Linked DNA regions of Lepisosteus oculatus. The protein of the gene in region 1 interacts with the protein of each later gene in a pairwise test. Links are inferred from orthologs where the notes say so. Each region holds a gene or a part of one and is shown on either strand. Other genes may lie near its edges. The genes, in order: tfip11, odad3, imp3 and sh2d4a.

The links.
Region 2: the proteins of tfip11 (region 1) and odad3 interact in binary tests that used the Homo sapiens proteins (3 or more experiments, as listed by UniProt). The two-hybrid records come from large-scale screens. The link is inferred for Lepisosteus oculatus from reciprocal best matches to the Homo sapiens genes TFIP11 and ODAD3.
Region 3: the proteins of tfip11 (region 1) and imp3 interact in binary tests that used the Homo sapiens proteins (3 or more experiments, as listed by UniProt). The two-hybrid records come from large-scale screens. The link is inferred for Lepisosteus oculatus from reciprocal best matches to the Homo sapiens genes TFIP11 and IMP3.
Region 4: the proteins of tfip11 (region 1) and sh2d4a interact in binary tests that used the Homo sapiens proteins (3 or more experiments, as listed by UniProt). The two-hybrid records come from large-scale screens. The link is inferred for Lepisosteus oculatus from reciprocal best matches to the Homo sapiens genes TFIP11 and SH2D4A.

The regions. Positions count from the first base shown.
Region 1 is NC_090717.1:14,664,048-14,672,448, reverse strand, and holds the start of tfip11 (tuftelin-interacting protein 11), read right to left. Parts: upstream 3,094-8,401; 5' UTR 2,940-3,093; intron 2,611-2,939; 5' UTR 2,577-2,610; coding exon 2,371-2,576; intron 1,948-2,370; coding exon 1,791-1,947; intron 1,504-1,790; coding exon 1,347-1,503; intron 1,207-1,346; coding exon 1,079-1,206; intron 656-1,078; coding exon 500-655; intron 234-499; coding exon 42-233; intron 1-41. Other genes in the region: srrd (SRR1-like protein), read left to right, coding at 3,922-4,073, 4,399-4,439, 5,120-5,346, 6,133-6,231, 6,910-7,061, 7,507-7,552, 8,113-8,401. UniProt on the Homo sapiens protein: Involved in pre-mRNA splicing, specifically in spliceosome disassembly during late-stage splicing events. Intron turnover seems to proceed through reactions in two lariat-intron associated complexes termed Intron Large (IL) and Intron Small (IS).
Region 2 is NC_090706.1:17,751,967-17,759,838, reverse strand, and holds the start of odad3 (coiled-coil domain-containing protein 151), read left to right. Parts: upstream 1-4,571; 5' UTR 4,572-5,111; coding exon 5,112-5,196; intron 5,197-6,514; coding exon 6,515-6,636; intron 6,637-7,231; coding exon 7,232-7,309; intron 7,310-7,678; coding exon 7,679-7,858; intron 7,859-7,872. UniProt on the Homo sapiens protein: Component of the outer dynein arm-docking complex (ODA-DC) that mediates outer dynein arms (ODA) binding onto the doublet microtubule. Involved in mediating assembly of both ODAs and their axonemal docking complex onto ciliary microtubules.
Region 3 is NC_090704.1:31,045,863-31,053,453, reverse strand, and holds the start of imp3 (U3 small nucleolar ribonucleoprotein protein IMP3), read right to left. Parts: upstream 3,086-7,591; 5' UTR 2,978-3,085; coding exon 2,841-2,977; intron 1,425-2,840; coding exon 1,317-1,424; intron 1-1,316. UniProt on the Homo sapiens protein: Component of the 60-80S U3 small nucleolar ribonucleoprotein (U3 snoRNP). Required for the early cleavages during pre-18S ribosomal RNA processing. Part of the small subunit (SSU) processome, first precursor of the small eukaryotic ribosomal subunit.
Region 4 is NC_090698.1:26,585,660-26,593,818, reverse strand, and holds the start of sh2d4a (SH2 domain-containing protein 4A), read left to right. Parts: upstream 1-4,823; 5' UTR 4,824-5,057; intron 5,058-6,910; 5' UTR 6,911-6,976; intron 6,977-8,159. UniProt on the Homo sapiens protein: Inhibits estrogen-induced cell proliferation by competing with PLCG for binding to ESR1, blocking the effect of estrogen on PLCG and repressing estrogen-induced proliferation. May play a role in T-cell development and function.

The DNA.
Region 1 (8,401 bases):
AAGGCATGAAGAAAGAGGGCGTTACAGACATATGGACTGACCTGTAGAATATCCTGCTCCGTGAGGTCAATCAGCAGCTGCAAGTTGTGCTCCAGCTCAGGAAGTGCGAAGCCAGGACTCCGCTGGTCCTTGGGGGCGGCACCAAGGGACGGCTCCTCTGGAACACTGTGCTTCTGGCTCATCTGACTGTAGCTGTAATAGACCTTCTGCTCACGGCCTGTCATATCAATCACCTGCAACACAGCCCAGGGGACAGACTGATACACTTTCAAAACACAGCAGAAAACTGTAAAGAATACTTTAATTTATTTTAGACAATTTGTCATAGACCTATGCTATAACTTACCTCAAAACTAGACTAGATTACTATGACTACATAACTCAGCATAATGGTGATAATTCCAGAACACTAGCAAAGAATACTGCTCTTGTATCTGGTGTGATAAAACATGCAATCGAAACACTAGATTAAACGCAGTGTCTATATCTCCCTGCACACCTTGACCTGGGCCAGCTCCGCAGGGGGCGCAGTCATGCTCTTGCCCACCGCCTGCCCCCGGGCCTTCAGCTCGTCCACCGTTCGGTACGAGTATTTGGGCTTCTTCTTCCCAGCCCCTGGGTCTCTGCGCCACTGGCCCAGCTCCCGCTGGAAGTCCTGCGGGAAGAGAGGAGATTCTGAACGGGCAGCTGGGCTCCCTGCCTGGCCAGCGGGGGAGAAGTGAGAGGCAGCGGCTCTCGGGCGAACGTGAGACTGGAGTTTCACACGTGACTCAGAAGGGCAGACAGCAACGGGAATTTATTCCACACCTCAGTTAAAGCTGCTGCACAAATGTAAAGATGCAAACCAGCAAGACACAACACATGAATGAAAAAAATGAATAAATGTGCTGTGGCTTTGTACATTTGTATGAATGTGATTCAGCAGAACTAAAAGTGCAGCAAACACCTTTAAAAAAGGACCTGAGCGCTGGCTGCCTTTTACCAGAAAGGAGTAAAAGCTTCACAGAGGTAATCCCGAGGCACACAACCAGAGACTGTTGGGTGCACATTAACAGGCCAGATCCGGAGCCCCACTCACCTTTTCCTCCTCTTCCTCAGAATCCACGATGGGGAAGTCCTGCAGGGACTGCTGGGTCCTCTCTGTGCCATAAGCTCCCACTGCCCCCTTGCCCTTGCGCACCTTAGCCTCAATGGGGTTCACAATACCTGGGCAAAGACATAGCATCTGGCACTGAGGAGCAGCACTGGCAAAAAAAACTCAGTAATGACAGACAACAATGGGCACACAGTCACACTGTCAGGACACTGAAACAAGCACACAGATCCCACAGATCTCTCATCATTACCCTGTGCATTCTTGCCCAGCCCTTTGCCTGGCACGTAGCCCATCTTCTGCAGCAGTTTCTGCCCAATTCCACGGGTGTGTTTCTCCCAGGTGCCCAGGTCCTGCCCACCACGAGTGCCACTGCCAAATGCCCTCTGGGAGCTCTTAAAGTTCCCCCCCTGGTGTGCAAACAGAGAGAAGGCAGACACACAGGGGAAACAGAACCACATCAGTGTGCTGTATTACCCCGGTGGCAACAGCCCACTCTGTATGCATAGCTGTACCTGCAGCAGGTGCGAAGAATGAGTAAGGGACAGAGAAAAGAAAACTCCAGCCACCGGAGCACAAGCAACTGAACTGAAGGCCATATTGTGAAGAGAGGACACTGCAGCGAGCCGTCAAGCAGGATTTACAGAAGAAACGGGAGGTTCTTCCCCCCCAGCCCCTGACCTCAACCCTTTCTCACCGTCTGCAGCCTTCTGGGCGCTGACTCCCGGGGGGGCGCCTGGGGAGGGTCTGCCTCTGGTTCTGAGTCGTCAGATCCCTCCTGTTCTCTCTCCTCGGCCGCGCTCTTCCGGAGCCCCGCGCTCACGAAGCTGACAGGTGCAGTGTAGTCCCTGGACCTGGACACAGAGCAAACCATGTAGGAAACTGCCCCAGATATAAAACATTATACCCACTTTAATAAGGCTGTGAGATTTTCCTGAAGCAATTTTAATAATCCCCCTCTCTGAACTGGCTTCATCACGCTGCTCTCCTCCCCACTGAGAGCTGCTGTGTGGTGAGCAGACTGGTGCAGCCTCCAGGTGAGGCTGCACACTGCTGGTGGTGGAGGAGGTAAAGAGCTTTGAGTGTAGTGTCCAGAAAAGGACTATAGAAGAGTAAGAATTATTATTACTCTACAATACAGAGGATACTTAAGGTTTTTATTTTTTTTTATGATCTGAATGCACTACAGCCCTCGGGTTTGCACTGAATTCACAAACTCCACTCTCTTACACTGACACCCAGATTCAAGCAAACTGGCAGACAGGGGCACGGCGCACCTCTTCCCACCAAAGCTGGGTCGCTCGTCATCGGAGTCGCGCTCGGCCCACACGCCGTATGTCGCCTCCTCTTTGGTCTGGCGGTGCCGGCGCCGGTCGGGGTTGAACTCGTTCTCTAAGTCCCAATCCGTCACCTCGAAGCGCTCGACCTCCACACCCTCCTCCTCCTCCTCGCCCCCCCTCCCGTACAGGTGGGACAGAGACATCCTCTGGGCGGCGCTCGGACTGGCACACTGCGGTCTGCAAGGGAAGGCAGGACCGTGAATGTATTTTTGCTGCTTATAGAAAGATATCTTCACCGTGATAGGAGATCGTTAAAGGATATCCTGTCAGATATTCTGGGATTTAACAGGCACCGAGAATCCAGATCGGGCAAAAAAAAATCGTGTAGTTTTTCAGGTTCTGCTCGGTCGGGTTCCGTTCTGTGGCCCAACGTCCAACACCAGAGTGCGGTCCCGACCAGGGGCGCCCAGCGCATCCGGCACGTCACAGCTCATTTTCAAAATAAATTAACCAGCCGGCAAGTAAGGCGTTTCCCGATTAGGAGACAGAAAACTGGACTCCTTTACCTCGATGGATGACGATTAAACACTCAGCAAACACCAACCTGCTTCCCTGCCGAGTATTTTCGTGGGGAAATTGCCGGACTTCGCTCGAAAACTAAATCTCGCCTTAACCCGAGAAGCGTAAACAGAGCGACTTCCCTCCACTTCCTGAGAGTGCACAGTCTACACCCGTCCCCTAGAAACGTAGACTAAAATTGTCTAGAAAAATAGTCGCCGAATCTGTGCATATACCAAATAATCAGAGTGGAATGTTTTAAATAAATAATGTGCATGGTGATATATGCAAGCCTTGTGACTTCTTGTTTCCTTCTGTTCGTATGATCTGACTCCTACCGGACCCCTCACAGTCGGAACTTTTGTCACGCGTCATAGTTTCCGCCAGGGTCTTTGTAAGGCCGTACGCGCAGTCAGAAGTGCAAGGTGGTGTGTGTTTGGTTGAGGGGGTGGGATCAGTCCAGTGGGCTCTGTGTTCAGCCGGGAGGACCGGTTTCATCTGACAGCTCTGAGGTTCTCTGGTAGCTGAGTGACGCTAAGATCAGAGTGAGCACTGGGAGGGTGGTGGCTGCATTTTACTACTGTTTTTGACACGTTGCATTTATTCTTGATAGAAGAGTGAAAAAGAGCGTACGGCTCTTCGTAAGGTTTGTTCTGTTCGGAGCGAGGAGGGACTTTTTGAGTCAGCGCTCCACACAGACGGTACCGGGGACTGTTCTGAGCTCACGGTTAGGGTTATGTACATCTATACCGTCTCCGTTACGTTAATGCGCTGTGGAGGATCTTGACAATATTTTCAGAGTAGTGCAACACGGAAAACGTGAAATTACGTCAATTAACGGAGCGCTTAAGTTGGACAAAAGCCAGCGCAGGTCCGACCCTAGTCTTCCCTCTCGGCAAGGTCACAGAGCCGTGATCGCAACCGCTGCGCGGAGCCCGGCGGTGCTGACATTGTATCCTGGTCTCCTAGGATCCCAGCTTTCCCAGAGGGATGGCGGGCGGCAGCGGGGAATGGCAGAAGGTACAGCGGAAGAAGGGGAAAAGCCGGCCCAGGCGGTGGGGAGGACAGGGACAGCAGGGTAACTGTGTCCTGGACGATGCACCGGACACTCGGCAGCTCCGAGAGAGGATCACCGCAGCCATGTGAGTCTCTCACCGCGCCGGGCAGTTCTAGGAGGTATGGCTTAGGCCATCAGAGAGCGTTCCAGCGTGTCGGACAGGCGCCTGCAGGAGAGGCTGAGCTGAGCGCCGTGTTGCCTGTGTAGACCCTGATGACACAAGCACCTCCGATGTGGTAGCGTCGCCTTGTGCATGTTATAACACTGTACCCGACACTGCCTCTTCCTCCTTCTTTCAGCTCTGCTCTGTTGGGGCGATGGGCGATAGCAGTGATGCCAAAGTCCTCAGTAGACTCAGCAGTTCTTCCCATGTGAACACTGAAGGCTAAATTTTTCTCTGTGTATTTCAGGAAAGAGCTGAGGATTGAGGATTTCTGGCAGGTGTGGAGAGGTGAGCTAGTCTTCAGGAGTGGACTCCCAGCCAGCTGTGTGCTGGATAATCCTCTTGTTGGCATGTACCCGTACAAAACAAATCAGAGGGCACAAGTGTAAACTACGTAGAACTGCATTTGAAACCAAGACCAGACAGCACATCCTCACCTAAAAGGTTGTGAGAGTCTGGAACAAGCTGCCCAAATCAATATCTTGGCTTCCACCAAGAACTGTCCAGAGATCCTTGGATCAATAAAGCTACTATCCACCAATCAGGCCAGATGGGCCAAGTGGCCTTATTTTGTTTGTAATCATTCTTACATTCTTATGTCCCACAGTCACAGCTGTTCAGATTAATCAGCCATTAGGTTATGGAGGTGAAGTCATCTCTTCTAAAATTGATCACCTTCCTGTTTTTCATCCTAATGTGAACATTACAGAATACTAGTTTAAGAAATGCTTTAAGCTGTTTAAATGTTTCAGTTTGTTTTTTGTCAAAACTGCAAGTTGTTTTCTGCCTTTGTGTAAAAGTGTGGGAACTCAGTGTGGTGGAGCGTGCTTTCTGATTGTGCAGTAGAGTAGAACCCTGATGAATAATGTCCTGTGTCACTCGCCAGGAATCGGTGCTTATTCATTCAGAGGCATCCTTCCTCACAGACCTGGTGTTGGGCTCAGCTGTGTTCTGCCTTCTTTCTTCAGAGCTGCTTGTAAACAGCCTGGCCAGCGATCCCCCAGCTGAGCTGGGCAGCGGCAGCTCTCCTTCCCAGGACAAGGAGAGTGCGTGCTCTTCACACCCAAAGCGCGAGGGCGCTGTCTGTGCCGCGTCGGAGCTGGACTGCGTGTGTTACGGGCTAGGCAACTTCTCCTCCTGCGTCTCCTCCCGCTACCAGCTGGCTCTGCTGCTGCTGCTCCTAGAGAGCCTGCAGGTACCTGCAGCTCCGTGAGCGTCACTACGTCTCTTGAGGTGCTGGATGATGGACGCGATCTGTAACAGGAGGTTAAAGAATTTAAGATGTTAAGGAAATGATCATGTCCTGACACCAGCTTGCCCAGAAGGCAAATTTCTCAGATACCTGTAGTGAGAATGACAGGTGGCCACATGGTATCTTTCTTATTAGCACAGTTTAATGGAAGCAAAATCATCAAAAGTCTTAAACGAGAAACACTTATTAATGACATTGAATTACAAGCTGTTATATAAGGTTTTTACAGAGCCTGCGAATCCCTGAGTCCAGGCTGTCTCACTTCCTCAGGGAGGTGGGTGTCCTAACGCAGAGCCAGGAGACAGTGCAGACAGTCTGCTTCGGGAGGCCATTAAACTGCCCAGCAGGCAGCTGCTGCAGGTCAGGAGAGGAGAGGAAGCTGTGATGGGCAAACCTCTCAGCCGTTGAGCTGGTCGTTCCAGCTGGGAACTCTGCTCTTCGCGCACATCTTGCACAGGTCTCTGCCTTTTCCTGCCTCCCCGCCTAGGAGGAGTTTTGGGTTGGTGTGCAAGTCTGAACCAGACCAGGAACAGGCTCAGCAGCTCTGCGAAACCCGTATCGGTGAAATGGTAACCCAGATTATCCTTAACTGGGCGTTGCATTTGTTGATTATTAAAACCCAGTATATGTTTTGAAATGAAATCTGAAGACAGGGCAGTGGTTTGCAGAACACATGAATGTTTGGGGGAGACACTGTCTTGCCCCAGTATTGACACCATCTTGCCCAAGGTGCCGCCCCAGCGCTGCTGTGTGTATGACCCGGTGTTCTCGGCGGCAGAGACCAAAGTTCTGCAGGCCCTGGGGCTCACTGTGCTCACGGAGAACGAGGTGAGAGGAATCGCAGTGAGAAGACAGCTGCTGCAGCCTGCAGGCTGAGTGCTGAAGCGGATATTAGTGTAGAGGACTTGCAGCCAGGATGTTCTCGTTTTAGGCCCCTGACTCTATCGCTGGTTCATGGGAGCTGCTGAACATCTCTGGGCTTTTTACTTCAGATAAGATGTTATATTTAGGGGCGGTATGGTGGCACAGTGATCAGAATTGCGGCCCTGGGTTCAGTTCTGGACCCGAGGTGCTGTCTGTGTAGAGTTTGTATGTTCTACCCATGTTTGCGTGGGTTTCCCCCAGGTGCTCCCACAGTCCAAAGACATGCTGGTGGGTCAATTGTCTTCTGGGAAAACTGGCAGTGGTGTGAGTGCCTGCAGTGGGCTGGTGTCCCATCCAGTGTGTTATCCTGCCTTGTGCCGTTGCTTGCCGGGATCGGCTCCGGCTGCCCTGCAACCCTGAATTGGATAAACCGGTTATTGAATGTGAATGAGCATTAGTGACTGCAGCAGGAGCAGTCATTCACTTGCTTAGTCTCTCTGCCTCAGAGAGCCTGTAACCAACATCATCAACTGAACCCCAGTTCTTCTGTTCAGTAATTGTCTGCAGGCAGAATTGCTTTGTGTTATTTTCCTGGGTGCTGTTCTGAATTGTCGTCTGTTGTGCTTTGTTGCTGCTGCTCAGGAGGGGAAGCGGCTTGTGTGCAGACCCACCCTCTTCTACCTGATTCACTGTGGAAAAGCACTGTATAACAACCTGCTGTGGAGAAACTGGAGCACTGACAGCCTGCCCCTGCTTACCATAGTCGGAAACAGTTTCTGTGGCATTCAGGAGAGGTGAGGCAGTTCCATGACCATCATGGTGTTGTTCTTTTCTTTACACAAAGGATTGTGGGAGTATGGAACAAGCCATATCACCTTGACATACTGGTGTTGGTGGAGGGGTCCCCATTACCATTACGCTTTGAGTGCAGTGTCCAGAAAAGTGCTGTAGAAGGATTGTTTATTGTTGTTTATTATGTGCCCAAACTGTTCTGAAGCCAAAACCCCTGGTTCTACCAGGAAACACCTGGATGAGATCTGATAAATTAACTACCAGTTACCAAAGGGGCTAGATGGGCCAAGTGGCCTTATATTATTTGTAAGTCTTCCTTATATTCTTTCCTCTCTTTTGAATTTTAGTCGCATGAAGCACCCTGATAGATCTGTAGCCTGAGAGTGTGGAGAGATTAGAGCAAGCAGCTCATGGCAGTAAGAGTTGGTATCGATGTTTGTTTTGCAGCACGCTGGAAAGAGTCCTCAAGAGAGATTATACCTACATCCGGGACGTATCCTTTCCTGTGTCCTCACCTCTGGACACCCGTCCTGCCCTCACTGTTGTGGACAAGAGCCGGAAACTGGGGCTGCCAGTATTACCAGTGAAATTTAGAATCAATTCTAAAACAGCATGGCTTGCATACGATGACTTGATGATGTGCTCTGTCTCTGAGAGTGCTGGACGTTCTGCTGAGATCAGTGGGGCAGTTGGACCTGCCCAGTGTGCTTTGGCATGAGGCTGTTTCTGGGCCTTCTGCTTCTATTTTGTTAAAAAGAATGTAAAAATATTCTGCTTTTGTTCAGTTTTATTTCCTAAATGTTTTAATTCCTGATTGAATGGTGAATGAAACCTGGTTACAATTTCAAGTTCCTTTTCACTGATTTCTTTCCTCTCTGTTTTTTTGCTGTGTTGCTATTTCTGTCAAGGCTGGGGCAGTGTCCACCAGTGGACATTGTCCGTCAGTGTTTCTGGAAACCTGTGCATTGAAAGTGAAGCACGGGCCCCAGCCCTGGGTGCTGTATCTGCTGAGTGTCGTGTCACAGCTGTGCTTTTCCTTCATGGCGGTGGCAGATTATGAGAGCATGTGAGGAGACACCGCTACCCTGCCCCCCCCGACTTCTGGACGTCTTCAACAACACCGTTCTCTTGCGTTTCCCTCCGGAGCTCCTGGCTTCCCTGCCCTCTGACACCTGGGCTGACCCCCCCGAGCCGGACTACCAGCACTGCCCGGACCTAGAGATCATACAGGCTGCAGGGGCGCTGCAGGGGGCAGGAGGGGGAGGTGGGCATCCCAGCGCCGGCCTCAGGGGCGCCCCAGGACCAGCGCCGGCTTCAGGGGCACCCCAGCACCAGCCATGCT
Region 2 (7,872 bases), on another chromosome or scaffold:
CTAAGGGAAACCTGAGGCCAGCCTAAGTGATAATGAAGATGATCGTCCCCTTGTTTGACCTGAAAAAAACAAGGATTCTGTAGAAAAAGCCTGTTTAAAGGTAAACATATTAACATGTCCGTTCTAAAAGGTCACAATATGAGCCTGTGTGCCTCAGTAGCTTGGTGGTGTGTAGGGATTCGGAGAGCTTACCCTACAGAGTTTTTCACTGGCACTCATGTCTGTACAGTCTATTAGGGAGAAGAACAAGTGCTTTTGGATTTCTATTCTTGGAGGTGGACTTGTGGACCACCGAGCAAGGAGAAGAGGGGGGGGGGGGGGGGAGTGGGAAGAGAAATGCTGTCTGATGTTAAACTGCCTTTGCAGATTTTTGTTACTTTATTTTTTAACCCATTATGCGAGATGAAGAATATGAATGTAGACTACGCAATCTGCGGTTTTAGGGGTTCACGGTGTTGCTGTACGAATGCACAGACACCCAAGTGGTAGTCCGTATGTTGGGTATGGCATTGTACAATCCATTTGTTTTGAGATGCATTAAAGTTGCCATGTGTTTAATCCAATTTTGGAAGTATGCTTGGACTGCATATTAATTTCAGGCTCCTCTTTTAGTCATGCCACTTGCCTGGAGACTGAATGAGATTTTGAAGTTGCTCTGAGGTTTGACTTAAACCAAGGAGTAAGCAGAATAATAAATGTCTGTTGACATTTATAGGTCATTGGGATACAACACCTTTATTAAGTTTACTTTTGGAATCTTGCATTGTTTTCTTTAAAAGTGGCAATGTATTTGATGAGTATCGATGTATAGATCCGATTGCCACGGAACCTCCTGATCCAGTACTGACTGGGAACAGGTGGTTCTCGGTCTGATCAGTGGCAGATCTGAACTACTGGTCATGGTAGGTATCCACTGAAAGATATGTATAACATACAACGACTGCTGAAACTCTAAAAACGTCTGGGAAAAATGATAGTGATGCTTATAGATAGCTTAGCCGACGTGCTTCAAGGCAATTAACAAAACTTAAGTTTGGTGAATATCAGTCTGGGAGCAACTCTGAGAAAGAATGAAATTTCAAGGTGCTTGAGAGTATGGGCTACCCAGACTCGTACAGACGTTGCGGTGGCTTCTGTAAACTTGGGGCTGTGTGTGATTAACTAAAGGCATTTTTCATTTGTGCATTTCTCGGTCCAGTCGAAGCGTTGCTCACTTGCCCCCTCTCCAGGCAGAGCGGTGTCGGCAGCGAGAAGGGACTGGCGGCAGAGGGTTGCCAGAAAGGTGTGGTCCTCTCGGGGTCTGTGAGACTTCGAGAAGCGTTATCGGTACAAAAGCTGATGGTTTGTGTGAGAGTACAACGCCATGTGGTATCTCTAACCACACCAACAGGGCTGATTTGGTTTTTTATAGTAGCAACTGATGGCTTCTTCATCTCTGGCTTAGGCAGGAATTTTGACCCTGCTATCATTGTAGTCTTAATTACCATCTAAGCATAACATTAATAGGAGCTAAAGCTACCAGAGTTAACCCTTTAATTGGCAAGTACCAAAAAACTTAACTGAAAATGTTTTACTTGTTCTTTTCTAGTGGATTTTGTCTCAAATAACACAATTTCATAAGTTTTTTTTTTCAAAACTGTGTGTTTATTTTCCATTTTACAAACTGTATCCCACAGGATACAGTGCCCATTTGGGGTATACATCTGAACTGTTTTTGGCAACTGCTCCCATAGTCAAAAGAACCATAAAACCATTAAAACTCACTAATTTTTATGTTTCATTAAAAAAGGAATGCCAAACATACAATACACCCTTATCCCTACTTGCTTTGGTGTTTAAAAAATTACAACTGGTGTTAAAACTTAAAACTTACAAGTTACTCTAATGTTAAAAAAGTAAAGTCTTACAAAAACCCCAATTCATTTGGGCCCAAAATTGCAACAGTTCATTGTTTTACTGGTACTATGAACCTGTCCTTATGTTCAAAAGTATTTCATCAATTTCATCGAAGATGAAAGCAGTTGCATGCATTTTGTCCAGTGACAATGCAAAGCCTCACATTACACTTCTCACACATGATGGTCCATTAGGGCACATCCTGCATCTCCCTTTCACAGACAGAATTGGGTAGTGGCTGTTTCCATCATAGCGCATTTCATCTATAGGCTGTGGGACCTTTGGCTGCTTGACAACCCTCACGGCTGCATCATTCTCATTTCCTAGGGAAAGCCGGGCTCTTTTTTGTTTTTCTGGATAGATGAGACCTTTGGCAACATCTAGCCTGAAGGCCTTCAGTTTCTTCAGCTTTACTGGACCAATTGCTGTTGCGTCATGCTGATAAAGCAACCATGCATTACCGACAGCAATGCCTATCAGTTGCCAGAATATGCAAAGGTACCACCGATGGGACTTGGCTGGAGTGCGATATAATGCAATCATCATGTCAGTCAAGTCCACACCTCCCATGTGATGGTTGTATTCTGCCACGATCTGTGGACATGGGACAGATATCTGTCTTCCCTTCTTTGAGAAGCGCTTCATTTAACCTACAGGCATCACAGAAGCACATGTGCTCACCAAGGTGACTGTTTTGCTGTCAGCCCATTTGACTATTGCAAGCTGTGCATCGTTGTCAACTCGGTAGTCAAAACTACCTCTTCCTCTTTTCAGTAGTTCTTGATCATCTTCCAGTTTTCAGCCCATCAAGTGATTTTCTAATGGTTCCCAAACTTCTGAGGCCCATAGAATCCTTCAAATAGGTTAGCAAGCTGAGAGATGTGAAGAAGTTGTCAAATAGACCACACAGTCAGGGGCGTTCCTGATGGTTTTGCAAAGATGCAAAACTACATTGACCCCTAAACCAAACTCTTTGAGTGGAATTTGTGTAGCACAAGCAAATGTAGACTTCCCTGTGTAGATGAAGAAGTCATGCACAAAACCAGATACCCCAGCGCGCACATTTCTTGGGTTTGGCAGGTAGGTACTGGCGCAGACTTCCAGCTTTTCGACCTTTGTAAGGCACCATCATTTCATCAATCGAGAACTGATTTTCACTTTTAATTTGAGAGCATTTCTTTCTCATATGGTCTAGCACAGGCCTGATTTTCACCAGCCGGTCTTCTTGGGACTCAGGGACCAGGTTATTTTGAAAGTGTAGTATTCTGGACAAACATTTGAAGCACTTAATTGGCATGACATCTGCTATTTTGTCATATTTTGTATCACTGGCCCATTAATCTTCCATTGCAGCCATTTTCGCTACACCCATGAACAATTTGATACCTATGAATGCTTTGATTTCACTGATGTTGGTGTTTATGCTTCCACCAATCAGTTGGCATGAGTACAGATTGGTCTGATCAGCAATTAGCTCAAAAATCGCATTATTAAAGAATTTGGAAAAATAGGTTGGTGGAGAAAAGATTCCATCTTGTGCCATGAAATATGTTGGTGTTGCAGCTGACTGGTGTTCAAAATCGTTTTTTTTTTCCACCTAGAAAGGAATGAAATATATAATGGTTTATTGGAAACCACTCACACTCCCCTTTTTTGCTCACTATACATTCTATAAATAACATGTATTACTTCCATGTACACATTCTCATGGTCAGTTAGCAGTCTTGGACATAATATTTTTGTCTGGGTTCTAGTCCACATGCATACATTCATGTACAGTAAGTGCACACACCCACATGAACACACAGTATATAGTGTTACTTTATCAACAATATCCTATTTAATGGTTTACATCACCTACATTTCTTAATTTGTATGGACAGGTGTCCTTCTGCTGCCTCAACATTACAGCTACAGTCACTACTGCTATCCTCACTGCTAATGCTGCTATCTTCTCTTCGGCCTTCTGCATCTACATAGGCTTCATCATCTTCCTCACTTGTCCCTTGCTCTGAATCTGAAGAGCCAACAGGTGGCTGAATCCCTCTCCTAGGCCTACTATAAAATATCTTTGTGGAAATTCCCTGAAATAGTTAGTAAATAGTAATAGTTAGCACCTTTATGTGATGAAAGCATTTCAGTTGTTGTTATTTAATATCTAATACTTATGGCCTTTAAAAGAACAGGCACACATAGTGCTATTAATGACTGTTTTACACCCCCATTTAGGCAACGTATCCCAGGGGATACAGATATTTAATGTCAGATTTGGAGAACAGTACAAATATAATTCACATTTTTTTTTCATATTAACATGTCATATCATGCTTAAAAATGAATAGCTTATAAAAATGTCCCCCCAAAATTTGTGTTATGTATAAAATAAATACAGGTACTCACCATATGGTCAGTGAAGCCTTCTCCATCTTCCATCACAACAGATTCAGAAAGGAGTGACAAGTCTATCCCAGAATGCTCAGATGAAATCACATGACCTAAGTCCTTAACACATGACTCCCTCGTATGTTTTAATTGGATAAAAAAACACATGTTCCTAGCCCCTCCCACAGCTGGTCAAAATGTCTGTATCCAGCAGGATACAATATCCATTAAAGGGTATTGTAACTTTTAATGACGTTACATTTAAAGTTTAAATCTTTTGAACGCAGGGAGCAGGGAATCCAGCTGCAGGTTGTTGAAATGTTATGCAAACGGGAAGAAACTGCTCCAATTACGAAGTTCTCCAAGATAGGTAGCTGTTGTAACGTAAGGAGACTTAGAAACACTGATAGTAAGAACCAGCGATGCGAATCATGGCAGTGCAATGAGGTGTATTTTGAAAGATGCTCGGTGTAGGAGATAGTAGTGTGCACGGCCATGATCGTCTTCAACTACAACGCCCAGCATGCATTGCGGTGGAACTTTTTCCTGGCAACGTGATTTGTTTATCTCCCACTGTGGCCATGGAGATGGATGGCTGTTGCTGGGCACCCAGACAAGCTCCTAGTGTTTCACAGCTCCAGCCTAGGTAGCTGTGTGAAGAAGGCCCGAGTCCTTACAAGAGGAAAAATTCATTTTACCGAAACTCGGCGCCAGCGCAGCACACTGAAATAACGGTGGCACCCGAAAGCTCTGGGTGCTAGGTCGACGTTATCGGCGTCAGGCATAGGGTTATTCACATTATCTTTTTCACATTCAAGGCGCACCTGGTAAACATGCCTCTCTCGTTTAATACTGACGCAATTAAGCCTCCTCTACACGAGCAGATATCGGAGCTCCAAAGGAAAATTCAGCTTCTTGGTAGGTATTTCTTTTCATTAACGTTGGACTGATATTAGCCTGTCATCTGAGTGAAGCAGTTAAACGCGTCCCTTAAAGTCCCTTAGCTAGAAACTTGAGTTCGTCTGGTTTAAATTAATTGTACGCACCACGGTGCATAAAATACAATTTTAAAGAAACGTGTTAACTTAAAATCGGCAACTTTCGCGTAATTTAACAAAGGTGTGAGTTAAAGTTGATTTTGTAGGCGCTTTATCTCGACTTTTACTGTACAGTCGTACTGTACAGTAAGTAGTACATAAATAGTAGATTATGTAAGGATAGTGTTAGAGTTGGCAAGAACTTGTCATGATAAAACGTGGACCATATCAGTCGCTTGGAAGGACGAGCCTTCAAAGTTTATAGGGCATGACTAAACTAAAACATTGCAGCTAACGCTGGGTGGGGGCCGCGCAGAAAGTGGGAGATTTGCGCACCAGACTCAATTCAATTCAACTTTATTGTCATTATACTTACACAGGTGCATAGTATAATGAAAAGTGTTTCTCATTAGTCGGTCAGGTGCAGTATATAAACAGGACAAAAGATAAGACAATAGACTAACACAATAACAATAACAGTAACGTGTACTACCATAACGTAATCAAAACTGTGCAAAATCCGCAAACAGAGAAAATATAACAGGACAAAAACAGTGCAAGGTAATTCGGGGAACAGTGCAAAAATACTTTTGATTAATAAATATTACAACTATAGTTGTGTAGTGGTGTTGGAGTACAGTCCTTGTGGGTACAGGAAGAAGTTAGGAGAGATCATAGTATGATGGGAGGGAGTGGGGGCATCACCAACTTGACAGCTCTGGGGAAGGACGCCTTGCACATCTTATTATGAATCAACCACCTGTGCGTTCGAGATGCCGGCGGGTTATTGTAATATCTGCGCTCTCCTGACAATATCAGCGTTCCGCGATTTCTCTGTACCCCAGAAGAGTCATTATTTCTCAGCATCTTATCGGTGCTGACTGTTTTCTGTTCTCCAGCATTGCCTGTACAATGCGTGTTCATCCGTGGGGGTGGGGATGGTGGAAACATCCAAAACCACACAGGTGGTTTCTGTTCTCATACCAGCTACTTCGGTGTCTAAGCTGCCACACGTCTGCTAGCTACACTGCATTTTTAAAGCACGTTGTGCGGGGAAAACCATTCTGCATAGCTCTAATAAAAGCACAAAAGAGCCTGGTGGTGATTTACTGCAACAGTATGTGTTACAGTAGATTTTTTTATGGTTTTGATATTGAGGAAGAGTGGAGAGTCTAACGTATGACATTTCTGACTCGCAGAGGGGGACAGAAGCGCTTACTATGAGAGCTCCCAGTGGACCATCAAGAAGAACAAGGAAGCCATCCTGCAGCTCCGTCAGGAGAACAAGAGGCTACATAAGAAGTTGGCTGAAGCCTTAGCAGTAAGATGGTTTAGGATAAGAAGCCATTGGCCTCTTGCCTCGCAGCACAAACAGACATCATGTGTCTGTGCTACAATGGTCCTGCCGACTAGTTCATGTGAGGCAGGAATAGAGATTGGATCATTTTACATCCGCATTCTGGTTCTGTGCTTCACAAATCTAGACTTGGGGCTAATAAACTTTGCACACTGGGGCCTTGGAAGACCAGGGACAGTCGGAGTCTAGGCTGGGATCTCTTTGGAAGACCAAGTTTATACTTCCAAAACATCTACTTCTCAAGTTCCAGCTTGGGGTTCATCAACCCCCCTTTAATTAATTGTTTTAAAGGAAGTTTTATTTTGTGAACTTGGTTTAAGTCAGGTTCAAATGACAGCGATGCATAGGGTGGTTTCCTAGCTCATGGTCCATTTTTTGAAGGGCAGTTAAAAAGATAATTTTTCAGTGAATTTGGCAGAGAGCTGCATTTCTGAACAAGGCCCATGTGAAGCTGAGAACCCGGTGAAACAGTAATTGGGAATACTGGATTGAGGGGATGATGGAAGAGGAGATATAACACAGTTTCTAACTTTCTGCAATGTGCTGTCTGGTTCTGCAGGGAGATGAGCATGTGATAAAGGATGCCTTCCGGAACCGCATTGCAGAGAGTGCCACCCTGAGGAATAAGACAGGGAAGGTGAGGGAATTCCTGTATGGTGACCAGATAGCCTGAAAGCCACTGGCACACTGAGTAACTGGGAGTTAAGAGAAAATTCCCTGTTAAACCTGCATAGCTCTAGCTTTTAAGGACAATGCGCCTCATTATACATTAAAAAAAAATCTAAAAAAATAATTTTAAGACTAGGTCTGTTTTTTCACTAATTTTCTTTCTTGTGTAACACATGCATATAAAACCTGAAATGGAATATATGGCTGTCGGGCTGTACTGCAGTCGCAGCCTCAGTTTTGTTCTGTTCAGGAATAAACTGGTTATGCTGAAACAATTCTTGAAACGCACTTAGGTAGCTGTTATCTCACCTTATTCCTGTCTATGCTTGGTCTCCAGGCAGCGATTCAGATCATGGACCAGAAGGTGTGCGACAAAATGAAACGGCTAAATGCTCTGAAGCACAGCACCGAGACTCGCCGGCGCCGCCTGGAGGAGCTGCAGGAGCAGTACAGCAGGTTGCAGCAGGAGAGCCAGGCCTTGCAGCAGGGGGCTGAGGCCAGCTCTGAGGAGGCCAAGGTAACTGCAGCAAC
Region 3 (7,591 bases), on another chromosome or scaffold:
GGGTAGTTGTGAATCATCACACCTGCACTGGCTTGGCCACTGTGAGTGGAGGGAGGCCGTGACCAGCACCACTGCTTTAAAATCACCACTGTGCACATTAAAACGTGTTTGGAGAGCAGCAGGGCTTCACTGAAGAAGCACGAGGAAAGACGCCAGCAGAAGTGCATACTGCGGAGGGCTCAGAGCAGGGGCTCTCAGAAGTACCCCTGAGTCTGCTGGTTTTCATTCCAACTGGGCCCTTAATCAGCAGAGCTAACTGCTGCCTGTAACTGATCTGCTTGTTTCAGCACTCGCCTCTTGGTTTCAGAGAGGCCTCAGTTAAAGCACATTATTTCCAAAAACATCAGCCCACAGAATTTAATCGAGTCTCTCCTCGGCTCGCAGACTCACTTGCTCCCCTATTTCTGACTAAACGACTATTAGTAAGTGATCAAAGCGATGAACAGAGACAGGAGAGAATGGCCCTGTATCAGACACCTCCCACAGTGAGTCTGTGATCTTCCTTTTACTTCAGCCCAATTGGCTATATTTCATATAATTCACCTTACACACCTGAATGAGGGCAGTCCTGGACTGATTAGCACAGGCTTGACACCTATTAAATGTTTTAAGTTCTACAAGAAATTTTAAAAAAAGCCTCAAAAAGAAAGTTGAAATAATGAAGCCTGTGATTAAGAACAAAGCTTGAACACAATCCAAAAAAGACAGACGTTTTTCAAGATTACTACATACTTTTGTACTGTAGCTAGAGGAGAGAAATTGAGATACCACAATATATAAGGATGCTACACTTATGAAACTCATTTCCATTTAATTTGTGAAACTGAACGGTGTTTTGTGGATGTGCATTCCCCAAAAAACAGCACAGTTTCTAATTTAAACAGTGTGAATGAATGAGTGGCACAAAGTCTTTTGCCTATGAAAACTAAATCACTAATCATCGCTAGAAGCTCAGACAAATGCTGAAGTTTTGAAATAGAATGGATTTCATAAGAAGCTGGACCTGCTTTATTAATGTAAAAATGGGCATATCAGCCCTTCAGCTGTATTAAAGGTCTTGAAAATCCTGTAATATCACACAGGTCACACTATATGAGAAACAGTGGTTTTAACCCTCTGAGCATCCCACAATGCATTTCTGTAAACCACAGTTGACATCTTTATGAGATAAATCCATGACTTTGTTCCTGTCCATTCCTTTCCCAACACTGTACCGATGGACCGACTGCCTGGCCGACCGGGTCAGCCCACGCTGCCGAATGCCTCTCCCTCCCTCCGTGTCCGACACGCGCACACAGCCCTGCCCCACGACTCACAGCTTCTCCAGCAGCCGCGCGGTGTTCTGTGCGCGGAAGCCGTCCTTCTCGTTCAGGTCCCGGATCTTCTGGGCCAGCTGCCGGATCTCACGGCTGAGCTTGTTGTACCTGTCGGGAGAGGCGGGCAGAGAGGGGGGAGAAGGGGTGAACAGGGAGGACCAACAGCAAACAGGAGAGAAGAACAGGGGTACCGTTTAAGACTGCTAAACAGCCAACCTGCAGATCCTTTAGCAAATCACCTGTAATGGCTACATGGACACAGTTTTCACTGTATTCAGCATAACTGCACTACTTGTATTTATTGCATACACCATGGACACATAGCAGCTCGACTCATTATTCAATTTCTATTACATCTATTAGTATGTAACCTTATTTTCATAACCTCTATTTTGTGATTTTTGTGAGCTTGCAGAAAAGACATTTCATTACCAGCAACTACTGCTGCACGCTGTATTGTTGAGCATTTGATAAATAAACTTTGATTTGATACCGGCAGGAAAATAATGACAGCGAGAGAGGTGGATAGTGAAGGGGGGCACAGAGAAATGAAGTATAACAGTATGGAGATTATGACTGATCGCAGGAGCGGTTTGTTTAATGCTTTATTTAAGCAGATGGCTCTAATGAGAAAAGCTTCTCATTTATAGCGATGGCCTGGAGAGACCCAGGCAGTATTCTGAGTGCCTTTACACACTGCTGTCCAGAGTCCGTGTGCGGTTCTGGTGCAGCTGTTCCAAGGAGTTAAAATCAGACCTGATGCGATTGAAAGGCAAGGAAGCCCAATTTAACTCTTTTTAACAGGAATGAAGAAGTGAAACATTGACAATTCCAGCCGTAAACCCCAGGCAGTTTCGGTTAAGGAGGTATATTATTTCAGAGCTTTTTCTGGTTTTGCAGAAGAAGTACTGATCCATGATACGCACCGCAGTGAGGAAAACCACGCACGCGCTCGGATATAGGCAGCCTGCAGCGCAACAGACCGCGGAGCATGCTGGGATTCGAAGTCCCCCAACCCATCGACACAAACAGCAGGAGAAAAGGCTACGAATCCTAAACGCAAACGGCAATGCCACTGTCAACTTCACTTTCATCTACTTTAGTTGGTTCTAAACTTGATTAAAAGTAAAAGTGCTTGCGTGACGAAGAAAAAGACAACCGATGTAGCACCCCGCGGCAAGAGAAAAGTGTCATGGCGGCGCCCACGTCTGAGCATGAGACTTACAATTTAAAGCGTATTTCACGTGAAGCTTCAGTAGTTTCAGCGTTTCTACGAGCCTCTTAAGCATGGGTCTCACAACAAACACGCATAAAGGGTTCCGTTAGCAAGTAATACCCTTTCAAAAAACATGCGTACAGAACAACTTATGCTACAAGTTATCTGTTTGTAAAAAAAGGGCAGATATTTTCCTATTTCTCGAAACCGCAGAAGCAACAAAGAGCTTGCGCAATTTATGTCTGTTCCCGTGTGCAGTAAAGCGCACAGCCCAGCGTGTTTAGTTTGAATCAGCAGAGAAACCTTACACGGTATAGTCTTCTCTCCTCTCGATGTGGAATCTACGCAACACCTTCACCTCGTGTAAGTTGTTGTCCACTTCCCAGTTGATAAAATCGACTTTCTTCAAGAGCTTTTGCTCGTGAAACTTCAACTTTCTCACCATCTTTCTATATTACTGCAAAACGACACAAAAACTTAAACAAACTCTCCAAGTTCCTCTTTCCGGCGCTCTCCGTCACTAGCAGAAATCGCTGGGCTTTGACGTCACCTACCCCCAGCAGCGACACGTGAGCGTCTGCACTGTAGCTTCAGCCTTCGCTAAAGAGTTAAGTATAAATGTGCAGAAGTGCTTTTAGGAGGTTTAACCGCATTTCAGAAGAAGAAATTGTTTTTGTGCCTCAGAAACAGCGTTGCATCGAATCTTCCAGTATTCACTTAGAAATAGACCCTGAATGCAAACAGGAAATTCCATTTCAATACCACCAAACCATCTGAGATCCCAGTATGGAAGTCTAAGTGAAAACGTGTTTAGAAGAGCAAAGGTGTCTCACACTCATTTTCAGAGGGCCTGGTGTCTTCTGGTTTCTGTTCCAACCTGGGAAGTCAATTAAGTAATTGACCCAATTATTTTCTGAATCAGACATGTAACAGTTTCAGGATGTAACAGGATGTTTCTTGAGGCCTTTTAGAGTGGAATAAACAAGACTTTCACTTTCAGTTACAGTTTCCTATAAATCGCCTCAGAGCCTGGTTAGAGATATTACAAGTATACAGTTACTTAAATAATCAGACCAGCTATGTGAGAACATGGTTGGAACACAAACTAGAAGACACTTGGCCTTCCAGGAACTGTTTGAGACCTCTGGAAGAGTAAAGAGTCCAAATAACAAAGGGTTCTGCCAGGGGAGGACAGTCCTAGTCCTGGAGGGCCAGTGTGCCTGCGGTTTTCATTCCAAGTCAGTCAGCAGGGACGGATTTTGATGTTCGTAGGCCCTAGGTTATTGCACTCCAAACTGTGCAAAGAGAGGGGTAAACCCCAGTTGAATTACGTCGATTGACATGATGCACTTTAAACTATTTTAACTAATTGATTTATACTATCAATTTCCCTACGGGATTAATAAAGTATTATCTATCTATCTATTCTCATGCTAAACCTTGTGATTGATGGAGCGAGTTGAGCAACCATCACTTCGATACTTCTCGTTTCTAGAACAGCCGCTAAATAGCGCATGATTATTGATTTGGAGCACCTAGAGCCGATCGCAAGCATGTTGTTTCAGCTCATTTTTCATTAGTCACTAGTGTTTCCCTCCTTCGTGGCCCTAAAAAATTTTTAGGCCCTAGGCACTGTGTCTAAAGTGCCTAATGGGAAATCCGGCACTGTCAGTCAGCTCGTTATTGGCTTAACAACCCAATTACTTCCAGATCTTCAGACCTGGAAGTCATGCAGCCACACCAGCCCTGTAGGACCAGGATCAGATACCCCTGCTCTATGATGCAAACAAACTGGCATCTCAGCTCTTGTGTAGCACCAGCAGCGGGCAGGCAGATAATCTGCTGAGCCACAGTCATAGCTGAGATGCTGTACTCTACATTTCTGGCATTTTCAGAATAAAATCTGTCTTCTGTCCATGCTGTGTGAGCTCTATTCATGCCCAGGAGGCCAGGGTCCGTTAGCTTTGGGGATGCCCTTACCAGAGTCACATAGTTCAGAGCCACACCAACAGTGGACTCCTCAGCTCCAGTCTGTATGGTACTGATACTGTAAGGGGCAGATTCTCAGATTGGGGTCTGTAATTAGGGCAGTGGAGGTTTCTGACTTCCTTGAGCAAAGTGAAAAGTCTACTCTTTCTCAAAGACAAAAGGGCATGAAAGGCAAAGCACACTGTTAGGCAGAGGGTGAGGCAGAAACCGCTAACTGCTCCAGCCCTGTCCTGTCCAAACAGAACAGAAGGAAAATGCTCTGGGGTGGGGGGTGCTCATCACAAACTCTGTAGACTGTACCCTCTGGGAATGTGGAAGAGCAGGTTCAACTTGTCACGCCAAACCTTGGCTTCAGCATGAGGGACATGAAGGCCACGCTGTGAGCTCTGACACCCCGGAGGTACATGCAGGGGCTTTACTATATACTGTGGAAGAGACAGAGACTCGGTATGTATGGTGCCTAATGCCTAATGATGAAACAGAGCAGCTAATTTAGTTCACCAACACTAACACTAACATTGTAGCAGATCAAATAGTTCAAATTATCACAGTAGGCCAGTTCAATAATACTGAACTCCAATAATATCACAGTTCAATAACACTGAACCCCACTAAAATAATACTACATTACTGTTTTATAGTGCCACGCCACACCGAAGAAGTTCTGCACTTATATTGCACTATGCTCTTCTATACTGCATTGCATTGTAATGATCGTAACAATGGACCTCATTCTTTTAGTTCCATTGCTCCTACTCTCTGGAATTCCCTTCCTACTTGCATTTGTAATGCTCCGACCCTTTCTCTGCAAAAGCCACCTTGTTTCATGGGCTTTCTCCTAAATGTCAGGGGTAGGGATGAGATAACGGACTAGGCCGAGTTCAGAGCTGGTACCATTGTTATTGTTCGATCATTACCCATGTACTCTTGAGCTATAGACAAGTTTAACCAGGCTCTGTAACAGCTTCTTCCCGCAGGCTGTCAGGCTCCTCAACACCCTGGAATCTACTTGCACCCACCCCAATTCCAGAAACAGGGTTTAAATCCCCCCAGTGTGTTGTGTATATTGTGTAATTTGCACTATCTGCACTTTCCACTATGTGTATCCTGTCTGTCCTGCCTGTATTTGCACTGTGGACCAGGAGGAACGATATTTCATTCCAGTGTATTCTTGTATGTGACTGGAATGACAAATAAACGTGAACTTGACCTTGAACTTGACCATTTGTGTGCCTAGGTCATGTAACTTTTGTAAATGTTCTTTCTTCTTCTTGTTGTTCTTTTTTGTACATTCTGAAGTGTTCTCTGTTGTAGAGAAATTGTTTTAATGTGTATGTTTAGGCTCCTTGAAAGGCGACATGTACATTGAGATCAGCAGTATCTGATTGAAAATACTGAATCTGGTGTGGTCGTTCTGTGGCTAAGGTTCTGTGCCTGTGGCTGGAAGGCTACGGGTTCGTATCCCTCAGCCGGCAGAGCAATCCTACTCCATTGGGCCCCTGAGCAAGGCCCTTAACCCCAGCTGCTCCAGGGGGTGCCATATAAATGGCTGACCCTGCGCTCTGACCCCCAGCTTCTCTCCCTGTCTGTGTGTCTTATGGAGAGCAAGTCGGGGTTTGGGAAAAGACAAATTCCTACTACAAGAAATTGACCACAAAATGATCTTATCCCACCCACTGTTACTGCAGTGCAACACTGCCTTGTACTCTGTAACCTTACTGCCTCACATTCCAATAACAATGCATTCTTAAAAAAAGAACAATAAAAGACCTAACAGCAATAATACAATATCACTGCAGCAGTGGAGTCTGGCTTGGTAGTGTTTGTTTTGTAATGGCTGTGTGTGATCATGACAAAATAGCCATGCCTGGGAAGGCAGTGTTTCATCAGTGGTGGAAAGTGACACCAGCTATCAGGTCTAGAGGAAGCCATGCACAATGGTGTGAAAAGACACTGAGCCTCTTTCCCTACTGATGAGCTGGCCAGGAGGGGCAGAGCTATGTCTGTATTACAGTATGATCACACCCCCAGGACAGGCAGGGCTGAGACGGAAACCACACAAACAGTAACTATACAATCACGGCACTGTGAAACTCCCGGGAGGCCAACAAGGCTCGAAAGACAAAAATATCACCACAAAGAAATAAAGCGTGTTTAAGGAAGGTGCTAATTAAAGGTGTACTGGCTACCTAATGGAAGAAACATTACATGTCAGAACATAAACACGTTCTCACAGTGGCCTGCAAAATGACAGAAACGACAGATCACCCTTGAAATATGGAGCGGGGGTCATCACAATGCCATCTCTTTTTGTTTGGTGGCAATTCAGCCTGTAACACTGACATTCTCATACAGATAAAATTTAAAATCATGTCAGCGTTTAAGCAGGACCTGTACAATTCAATCATCCCAGTTCAGCTACAGCTTTAATAGGCTGTTTTAGAGAGCCTTCTGTGTACACATTCATAATCTTCTGAGCTCATTTAAAGATTCACATAAAGATGATCCTAGATAAAAATGGCCATGTGAATGTGTTTTTTATGTGCTAGGGGCTGGTAAAGGTTTTTAGGGTCAAATTTCATTAAGTTATGGAAGGAATTTGCGTTTTGGTGGGAATGTGACACTCAGCAATGTGCTGCCCAGAAATCTGATGTGTGAAAGAGATGAGGGAGCTGTACTGCAGAAGCCTTTCGCAGAACTGGAAGATACAGTATAAGATCACTTTATTGGCCATATACAATTTCTTGCATTAAGAATTTGTCTTTGCACATACCCCAACTTGCCCCAAGCTTGGAGTCAGAGCACAGGGTCAGCCATTTATACAGCACCCCTGGAGCAGTTGGGGTTAAGGGCCTTGCTCAGGGCCCCAGGGAGTAGGATTCCTCTGCCAGCCGCGGGATTTGAACTGGCAAAACCAGCTACAGGCACAGATCCTTAGCCACAGTACCACCGCTCCACCCGTAGGATCCAGTGCAGTCCAGCACATAATAATAATCCTCACACTTTTCTCTTGACTCTCCACTCAAAGTGCTGTACAGGTAATGGGGATAATGGGAACCCCCTCCACCAC
Region 4 (8,159 bases), on another chromosome or scaffold:
AAAGAAAAACACAGAAAGGACCCAATATGCCCCATGTGTCAAGAGCACAATTCCTTTGCTGCGCATGAACCAAATCCTCTTTAGAAATGTATTGGGCTTTTGCCTGATGTCCACCCTGATGGACATCATCAAGTGTGGCACAGATGTGCACAATGCTGTGGTAACTGTTGTGTGCAACAGACTAATTGATTGGGAGGTCTGAACTACAGAACTCGCCTTTAAGTATAGAATGGCTACCTGCCTGCATTACACTACATCAGCACGTCCTGATCAACTGATCATTGTGCGGTGGCTAAGGATCTGCACCTGTGGCTGGAAGGTTGCCGGTTCATATCCTATAGCTAGCAGAGGAATCCTACTCTGTTGGGCCCCTGAGCAAGGCCCTTAACCCCAACTGCTCCAGGGGTGCTGTATAAATGGCTGACCCTTTGCTCTGACCTTTCTCTCTCTTTCTGTGTCTCATGGAGTTGAGGTATTATATTCCTAATATAAGAAATTGTATATGGCTGATAAAGTGATCTTATCTTATCTTATCAAGCCCAGGGACCTCACAGGCTGCCCTCCTGGCAGACTAATCCAGAAGGACAACACACATCCTCTGGCTCCTTAGCTAACAATGGTTTTCTTGTAAGATAAGGTGACACATGTGCTATGAATGCTGTATTTACCCCAGAACTTTAGGACTAGAATGAAGGAAGGGAGTGTCTGGGTGATCGTGGGGAGAAACCAGACATAACAAGTGGGGACTACATGAGGAACAGTCCCTCCTTCCTTTGTCCTTTCTGTTTGCTGTCTGTTCCCCTGTTCCACGACTGGTTCAGCCTGCTCAGGGTCCCCACACAATCCAATGTGTCGACGCTGATCATGTTGTAATTGATGGGTGTCGAGCCAAACAGTGTGTCGTTCAATTGGAATGTTGTTTGTCACTGGAGACCCTGAATAACGAGAGGGGAGCAGAGACAAAGGAGAAAAACACAACAAACCCTGACAGAAATACTGGCTGTTACATAAAGTAAACATACCCCCCAACCCACTGTCGTACAACCACTTTTTTTGTCACCCCATGACACCTACACATTGTTGAAATCAGAGATCACTGAATTCATGCTGAAAGTTTGCTCTCCCTGCAAACATTCAATGACATTCTATTCAGCTGTCATACTTCTGCATTTCAGTACAAATTACATTTTTGCATCTAACGCACAAAAACGGTTTTTAAGTGAACAGAACAAACACTCGTATTACTTTTTCAATACAGTTTAGCAATGCTTAAAGGCCATTTACATTTTAGGTATCCTGAGAGTTAACGTGATTTAAACTAATCAAAGTACGAAACCATAACATAGACTGTACTGAGCCGCATTAAAAATGGTTGAGATTTTAAAAATGCATTACAAAAACTGGTTACAAAACTAATATGCTATGCTTTGAATGCCTCTCAGTTTAGTTTGTCTGGATACGTCCAACTGTGAAGGGTAAATAAATCTATTGTTAACTGTGGTAAAGGAGATTATACAGGATATTTATTTAACAATTGCAGGAAGCAATCATCTTTAATTTACCTTGGTGATGAATGAACTATCTTCGTCAGGCCGGTATCTGAGTATGGTATACTATGAGCGCCATCTTGTGTTCAAAAGTAGTTAATATTTTTCCTTGAAGATCTGTTCATTTTTGATATTATTCCTCTGGAACCTAAGATCCATGAGGGGTGGCATGGTGGCGCAGTGGTGGCACTGGGGCCCTGGGTTCAATTCATGGGGTGCTATCTGCATGGAGTTTTTGTGTTCTGCTTGTGTTCGAATGAGTTTGTCCTGGGTTTTCTACCACAGTGCAAAGACATACTGGTATGTTAATTGGCCTCTGGGAAAAGTGTTCTTGATGTGAGTGTGTACATGTTTGTGTTTGTGTCTGTCTGCTCTGTGATAGACTGGTTCTGTAGATGGATGAAGATCTGTGATACCAGTGAAAGGTAGTTAGGTGGGAGTTGGGGTAGCTGCTGAAGCAGTCAAAGCCATATTATGTGGGGTAGATGTTTGTAGATGTTTGACTGTAATACATAAATAATTCCTTAGTGAACACTATACTGAGAAATTAGGAACCACACAGACTGCAGGACAGCGCTCCCTACTGGTCCCACTAACATGTCTTCCAGCAGCACCTTAATTTTTTTAGCTTAGACTGTAATTTAGGGGTTTATACAGTATGTAGAACCTTGTTGAGGAATTGGTGGGGAATGGTATTTTTAATTTTTTTTAAGTGCTGTGTCATATCAAATAAAAAACGTGGTCTTGAGAACATTTGTGTATGAGTGTATTTACTATGGTTATTGAAAAATCAAAACAAATTAAAGAATAGAGCCTGTAAAAACAAGGTAGCATTGCTTTTGTCTTAATATGCCAGCAGCCATATCATGCTGTAACTCACATCTAGCAACCCACTGAAGCTCAGCAGGTGTGATCCTGGTCAGAACTTGGACGGGAGACCTCCTGGGACAAAATAAGGTTTCTGCAGGAAGTGTTAGTGGGGCCAGCAGGAGGTTCTCACCCTCCTGTCTGTGTGGGTCCAAATGCCCCAGTATAGTGATGGGATGCTATACTGTAAAAAAGACTGTGCAGAAAGAGGGGAGAGTGAGTTGCTCTCTAAACAGGAAAGGAAAGACAAGTCTTGCAGGAGACTGGGTTAACACTGGAAAACACCAGTCTGTGTTTTCTTTGGATGATCAAGTGTCAGGGCTAGAACCGTCCGCTGTGGAATGTTCTACTGCACAGAAGCCAGCAAACAACGTTCTACCACTCGAGACAGAGACTGCCACACAGCCACCAGCTCCACAGCAACAGCCCTCTACAACTGAAGGAACCAGACTTGAAACTGAATCTTGGCTTCGTGCACCTCCACCTGGCTTCCACGATATGCCTGAGACTGAAGAGCCCATTAAGAGGAGGGCAACTGCTCTGAGGCTACAGCAGGCACAGTGTTTTTTTTGCCCCAGACCAATGATGATATGCCTCTCCAAGAATGCACGTCTGTCTGCAGTACCAACCATCTGCCTGTCTCACCTCCTACACCTGTTGGCATCAGAGACACAGACAGCACACAGAGTCGCTCTGTGTCCTCAGACAAGCTCTGCCAGATATTGGGGAGCCCGGATGTCATTTCTGAGCCACCTGTCTCACAGCAGCAGGAACGCAGGCAGGACACGAAACACATCTTGTCTCCAGATAACAATGGCCTCACTACCGTTTATCACTTCTCAGCTACAAGATTGGACAGTGTCAACTCATCTGGGAGCTCACCTGGAGCTAGTGGGCACTGATTTGGGCCAGAGGAGCATCACTCCCGGTAACCCAGTGCTGCTTAAGAAAACCAGGCCAGCTCTTGTGGTGGCCAGCTAGCTGCCTGTGGTGATTTGGCTTCACATGAGGGTACCCTTTAGGGAACCTGGTTGAAAAGGGCCAACCAGTGACCGGCTTGATACCCCAGAAAGAAGGAAACTGGACTGATCGTGGGTTCTGATTTTTCTCATTCCGATTACAACATGTTTATAATTGGTACTTTTGTTATGTTTTAACAAGTTTTGTATTGTTGTAACATTTTTATGTCCTAACGTTTTTGTTTGTTTTGCATGTAGTGTGATACACTATAGTTCTGTTGTTGTTTTGTTTCACTTTATAGGAACTGTTTTAGTTATTTGGTTATTATTCAATATCCTTTTAACATGTGTTTTCTTGTTTTAACAACTTTAATAACAACTAATAACTTTGCTGTCATTTAAGTTGCCTCACTGTTACAAAGTTCAATATTTAGTGGAGGACATGGCAAATAATTGTTTTGCTTTTATTACTAGATTATTTTAGTTTTACCTAACCTGATATGGTTCTGTTTACAATGTTTTTGTGTTTAGAATCATAAACATGGTTAGTTTACACAGAGCATAGCTTGTGTCTCAGGTCTGCTAGTTTAGTGTTGCTATTTAAATGTTAGTACACAACTGCAGCTTTAATGATAATATGTTCGTGAAGAGACTCGGGTTTGTAGCAGCATTGCTTTCCATTCACTGTTGACAAGGAACACATGCCCAGCATTGTCTAGGTTAAAGGTAACTTTGACTGTTTTCCTTTACTTACAGCTTTACCTGGGACCAAATCTAAATCCTTTTATGTCTTAGTCACTTCAAACAAAAGTCACTTTGAAGTAGAGGAAAAGTAACAGATTTTCTCACTTTTATATTAATGTTTAACAACAATATCTGCACCTTTGTTGCAACTTAAAGGCTGTAAGGCACTAGTACCAACTGCCTCCTGCCAGGCATGCAGTACCTGATCTAATAGTTAGAAATTGTGTGCTTAGTACATATGTAGGGTTAAATTTCATGGGAGTCTGTGATACTATGTGTACACAACACAAACACATGTTCACACAAACATACAAAAGTGAAAGTGGGAAAATCTGTGAATTACTAGCCTCGGATTTCAAAAACCCTACAGTTATCATTTTTACACCTATATCTGCATCTCGGCACAGGAAACATAATATATTACTCTGTAAATGTTAGCTTTGAAGAGACATTCTGAATGCATCATTTGTGTTGAGAGTTAACCTTTGTAATGTGTACGTCCCAAAAGAAAATACTACAATTACAAAACTACTGCTGTACTTTTGATCATTCTTAATAGGTAGCTATTAAATACTGTTTATACGCAATTTTGTATTTAAAAAAATCAATTAAATTTGCAATCTGTTCATGTAACAGATCAATAAGAAGGCGGGGGGAAACCATAAACAGAGATTTAGCTGCAGCCTTTCGTAATACCTGGAACAGAGGTGTTCTTGGGTTGAAGCTTACTTTCGGCATTGGGCGTTGGATGTGACGTGTACGACAAAACAAACGGACAAAGAAAGATAAAACGAAATTGCTTCATGGTATATGGCGTACAGAAATGTCACGAGACGTTGAAGACACATTGCCGGAAAGTTAAAAGTCAGGTTTCTTGGTGACGTGAAGTTATCTTTAAAAGGGAGAAAAGTGCAAGGGACGGGAGTGGTTTGAACTCATGGTAAGGTTTTTCTTTTCATCTCGTTTTATTTTCTTAGTATGGAGCAGCGTTGTGTGACATTTATCAATGTTTTTAGAGTAGTTACAATTTTTCATGGGGAGTTCTTTCTGTCTCTGAAAATGTCTTTTTTGTAAACCATTTTTAGTAAATGAAAGTACTTTCCATTTCCAACGAAAATCTCAATGCAAAGCAATGAATGAATTCATTTCAATGCAAAGAAAAACCAACGAGATTATTCTAATCTTTTTCACTGTGTCGGGCTATCACTAAATTGCATAAATCCTTTATATTGACGTATCCTTTACTGCACAACAGACTTCTGGCTATGCGGGCAAACGTAATTTGTTGATTATTCGAGTATTTTGGGCGTATCGATTCTAACTAGCATTGTAGTCTAAGTAGTTTGGCATAGGAAGGATTGTTTCTTATACATTAAGAAAAAAGGCTTCTAACACAATATTTGAGTAATATATTTATTTCCTTTCTGCTAAAGCTGTTTTGAGAGTCCTGGACCGTTTTGGCAAAGAAGCAAGCATTTGCCATTAATTCTTTACTCCAACGTCGTGTCCTCACAGCATGACCAAAAGAAACGCATAAAAGTTACTTTACTATTGAATGCGCAAACATTAAAATCTCATAATAATGATTGAAATGAAAGCCAGTGATTGAACACGGGATTCTTTCAGACTTGTGACGTAGCCTATTGTGTTCAGATTTGTTGTGTTTGTGTGTTATTGGTAGTGTCTCGAAGCCCAATTGTATGTTCAAAGGTTTTTTTAGCCCATGCAGTTGGATACGTCGTATTTCAACGTGTATTTTTTAGATTTTTTTAAATTCAAATAAAATTTTCCACGGGATTATCTTTATCTTATTTTAGCTTTTAAATATTTGCACGGCTAGATTTCCACATGGGGTTAACCCATTCAGCACTTCCTTGTTGTACTTCGTTTATATTTTGGGGATCAAATCATTTTAAAGCGAAATGCAGTCTTTGCCTAAATGCACAGCAGACATAAGGGGAAGCTTAGGCCCACTTTTTAAATCTTTTTGCTACAAAGAAATTAGTTTCCAGCGTTCTAAAATTGTAAGTGTTAAAGATGGAAATCTAGGCATCTAGTTAAATAAAAAGCAAACAAAATGTGAATTTACAGAACCAGCTTGAGGTCACAGGAAGTGTGGTAACTCTTAAAGAGTTCACATAAAGCTGTTAGTATTATATTAAATTCTGTTACATGATCTCCAAATAATTTTATATTATTTAACTGTTTTCCATAGAAAATGCATCCTGGAGCGCACATAATGTGCCCTTGTAATATCTGGAGTCAGGGCAACCAATATAATTATACAGTCTTTGAGCAGAATCTACATTTTAAATGAAGAAACAACAGAAGGGTACCAATCTACTCGCACAGCTTGAACGACTGTAACAGTTTCTTGCTTTCATTATCTAGTTGCTGAATGGACTTTCATGTCAAGGTCATATTCTACCAGGAAAAACAAATGTATTTTGCCTCTGAATGGAGAGGTATAAGCATGGTTATGTTTTGAAATCATTTAAAATTTCCCATTGGAATGGAAATATTTGGAGAATGACTCATTAAATCATTTATGAAGTCTTGACAGGCATAGTTATTTCATATTATTTTAATATTGGTTAATACACTGTATTGGTTTTTCCCTGTTGTTTAATTGTTTCATAATGAATATGGGCTAGTGGAGCCAATTGTGAAGCAGTTTAAGAAGCTCAATTTGTGCACTTTTGCATTTGTATTTGTAGTATTCAATATTAAATTACCATAACCTCAACCTGCTTTGATTTTAGTTCAGCTTTCCATGCTTGTTTTGTCTTTTAGGGAAATACCTAGAATGTAAATATTTGGCCTGGCTGACATCCATTCATGAGATACAACTCATCAAAGGTGATTCTTTTTTAACCCCAGAAGTTTTCCTTGACTTCAAAGTTTTTACAGTTGCGATCAAAACTGTTTACAGCACTTGGACTTTTTCACATTTTGATTTGTTACCATGTGGAATCATAATGTATTTAACTGGGATCTTTTGCCATTGACACTAAACACTGTATGTCAAAGTGAAACCCAAATTCTGTTGATCCTCCTAAATTAATGATAAAAATAAAACGGAAAATAACTGATTGCATAAGTATTCACCTCCCTTAAGTCAATATTTGAGAGAGGCACATTTGGCAGAAATCACAGCCGGGAGTCTTCTTGGATTAAATCTCCACCATCTTTCCACCCCTGGACATCAATTTCTGTCAATTTTTCTTTGCAAGTCTCCCAAGTCTCTGGTCTGTTGCAGACTGCAGAAGGTTTTTTTTCTGTGCTTTGCTACTTCCACTCTGCGTCATGTCTTCACAAGTATTCCAAACACTAACACAGTGAAGCTGCCACCACCATGCTTCACAGCAGGGAAAACGCTTCTCAGGATGATGTGTGGTGTTACGCTTGTGCCAAACATTGTGTTAAGTGTTAAGACTAAAGGGGTCAATTGTGGTCTTTTCAGACCGTAGAATCTTCTTTCTCTTGGTCATTGCATAATTCAGTTGAGAATTGTACTTTATAGATCCCCTCCTGTGTGGATTAAGTTGAATGCAATGTGTTAACTACCTTATTCGATGACACCTACAATCTCTAATTATTTTGTGGCAACTGGGTTTTGCAGAGAGAGAGAGGTTTAACTGGTTGTATTGCATTTATTTAGAAGGCAGCTTATCTCTTATTTGGCCCCTGTAGGCATTCAAATTTTAATACTTAGTTGAAGTATGGGTTTTTCCTGGTGAATAGGATATTAGGCCACTGAAACGCCTTGTCTTTACATACTGTAAATACATTGTATGTTTTGTTGTATGTAGCATGGTGTTTGTATTGTCATTATTAATAAATATTTGTTTAATCAAGGGTACCTAAATTATTATTCTCTTGCACAGCTTTGGTGAAAAGAGTAAGAATTCATGTGCCCCTAATTAAACCAACTGCTTGGGTACATCCTGGAAAAATCACTTGTATGTTGGGAGTTATGAATAATTGTTTTACTTATTGAGTAAACCACCCTGTCAATTCCTGAAATTCACAATTTTTGTAT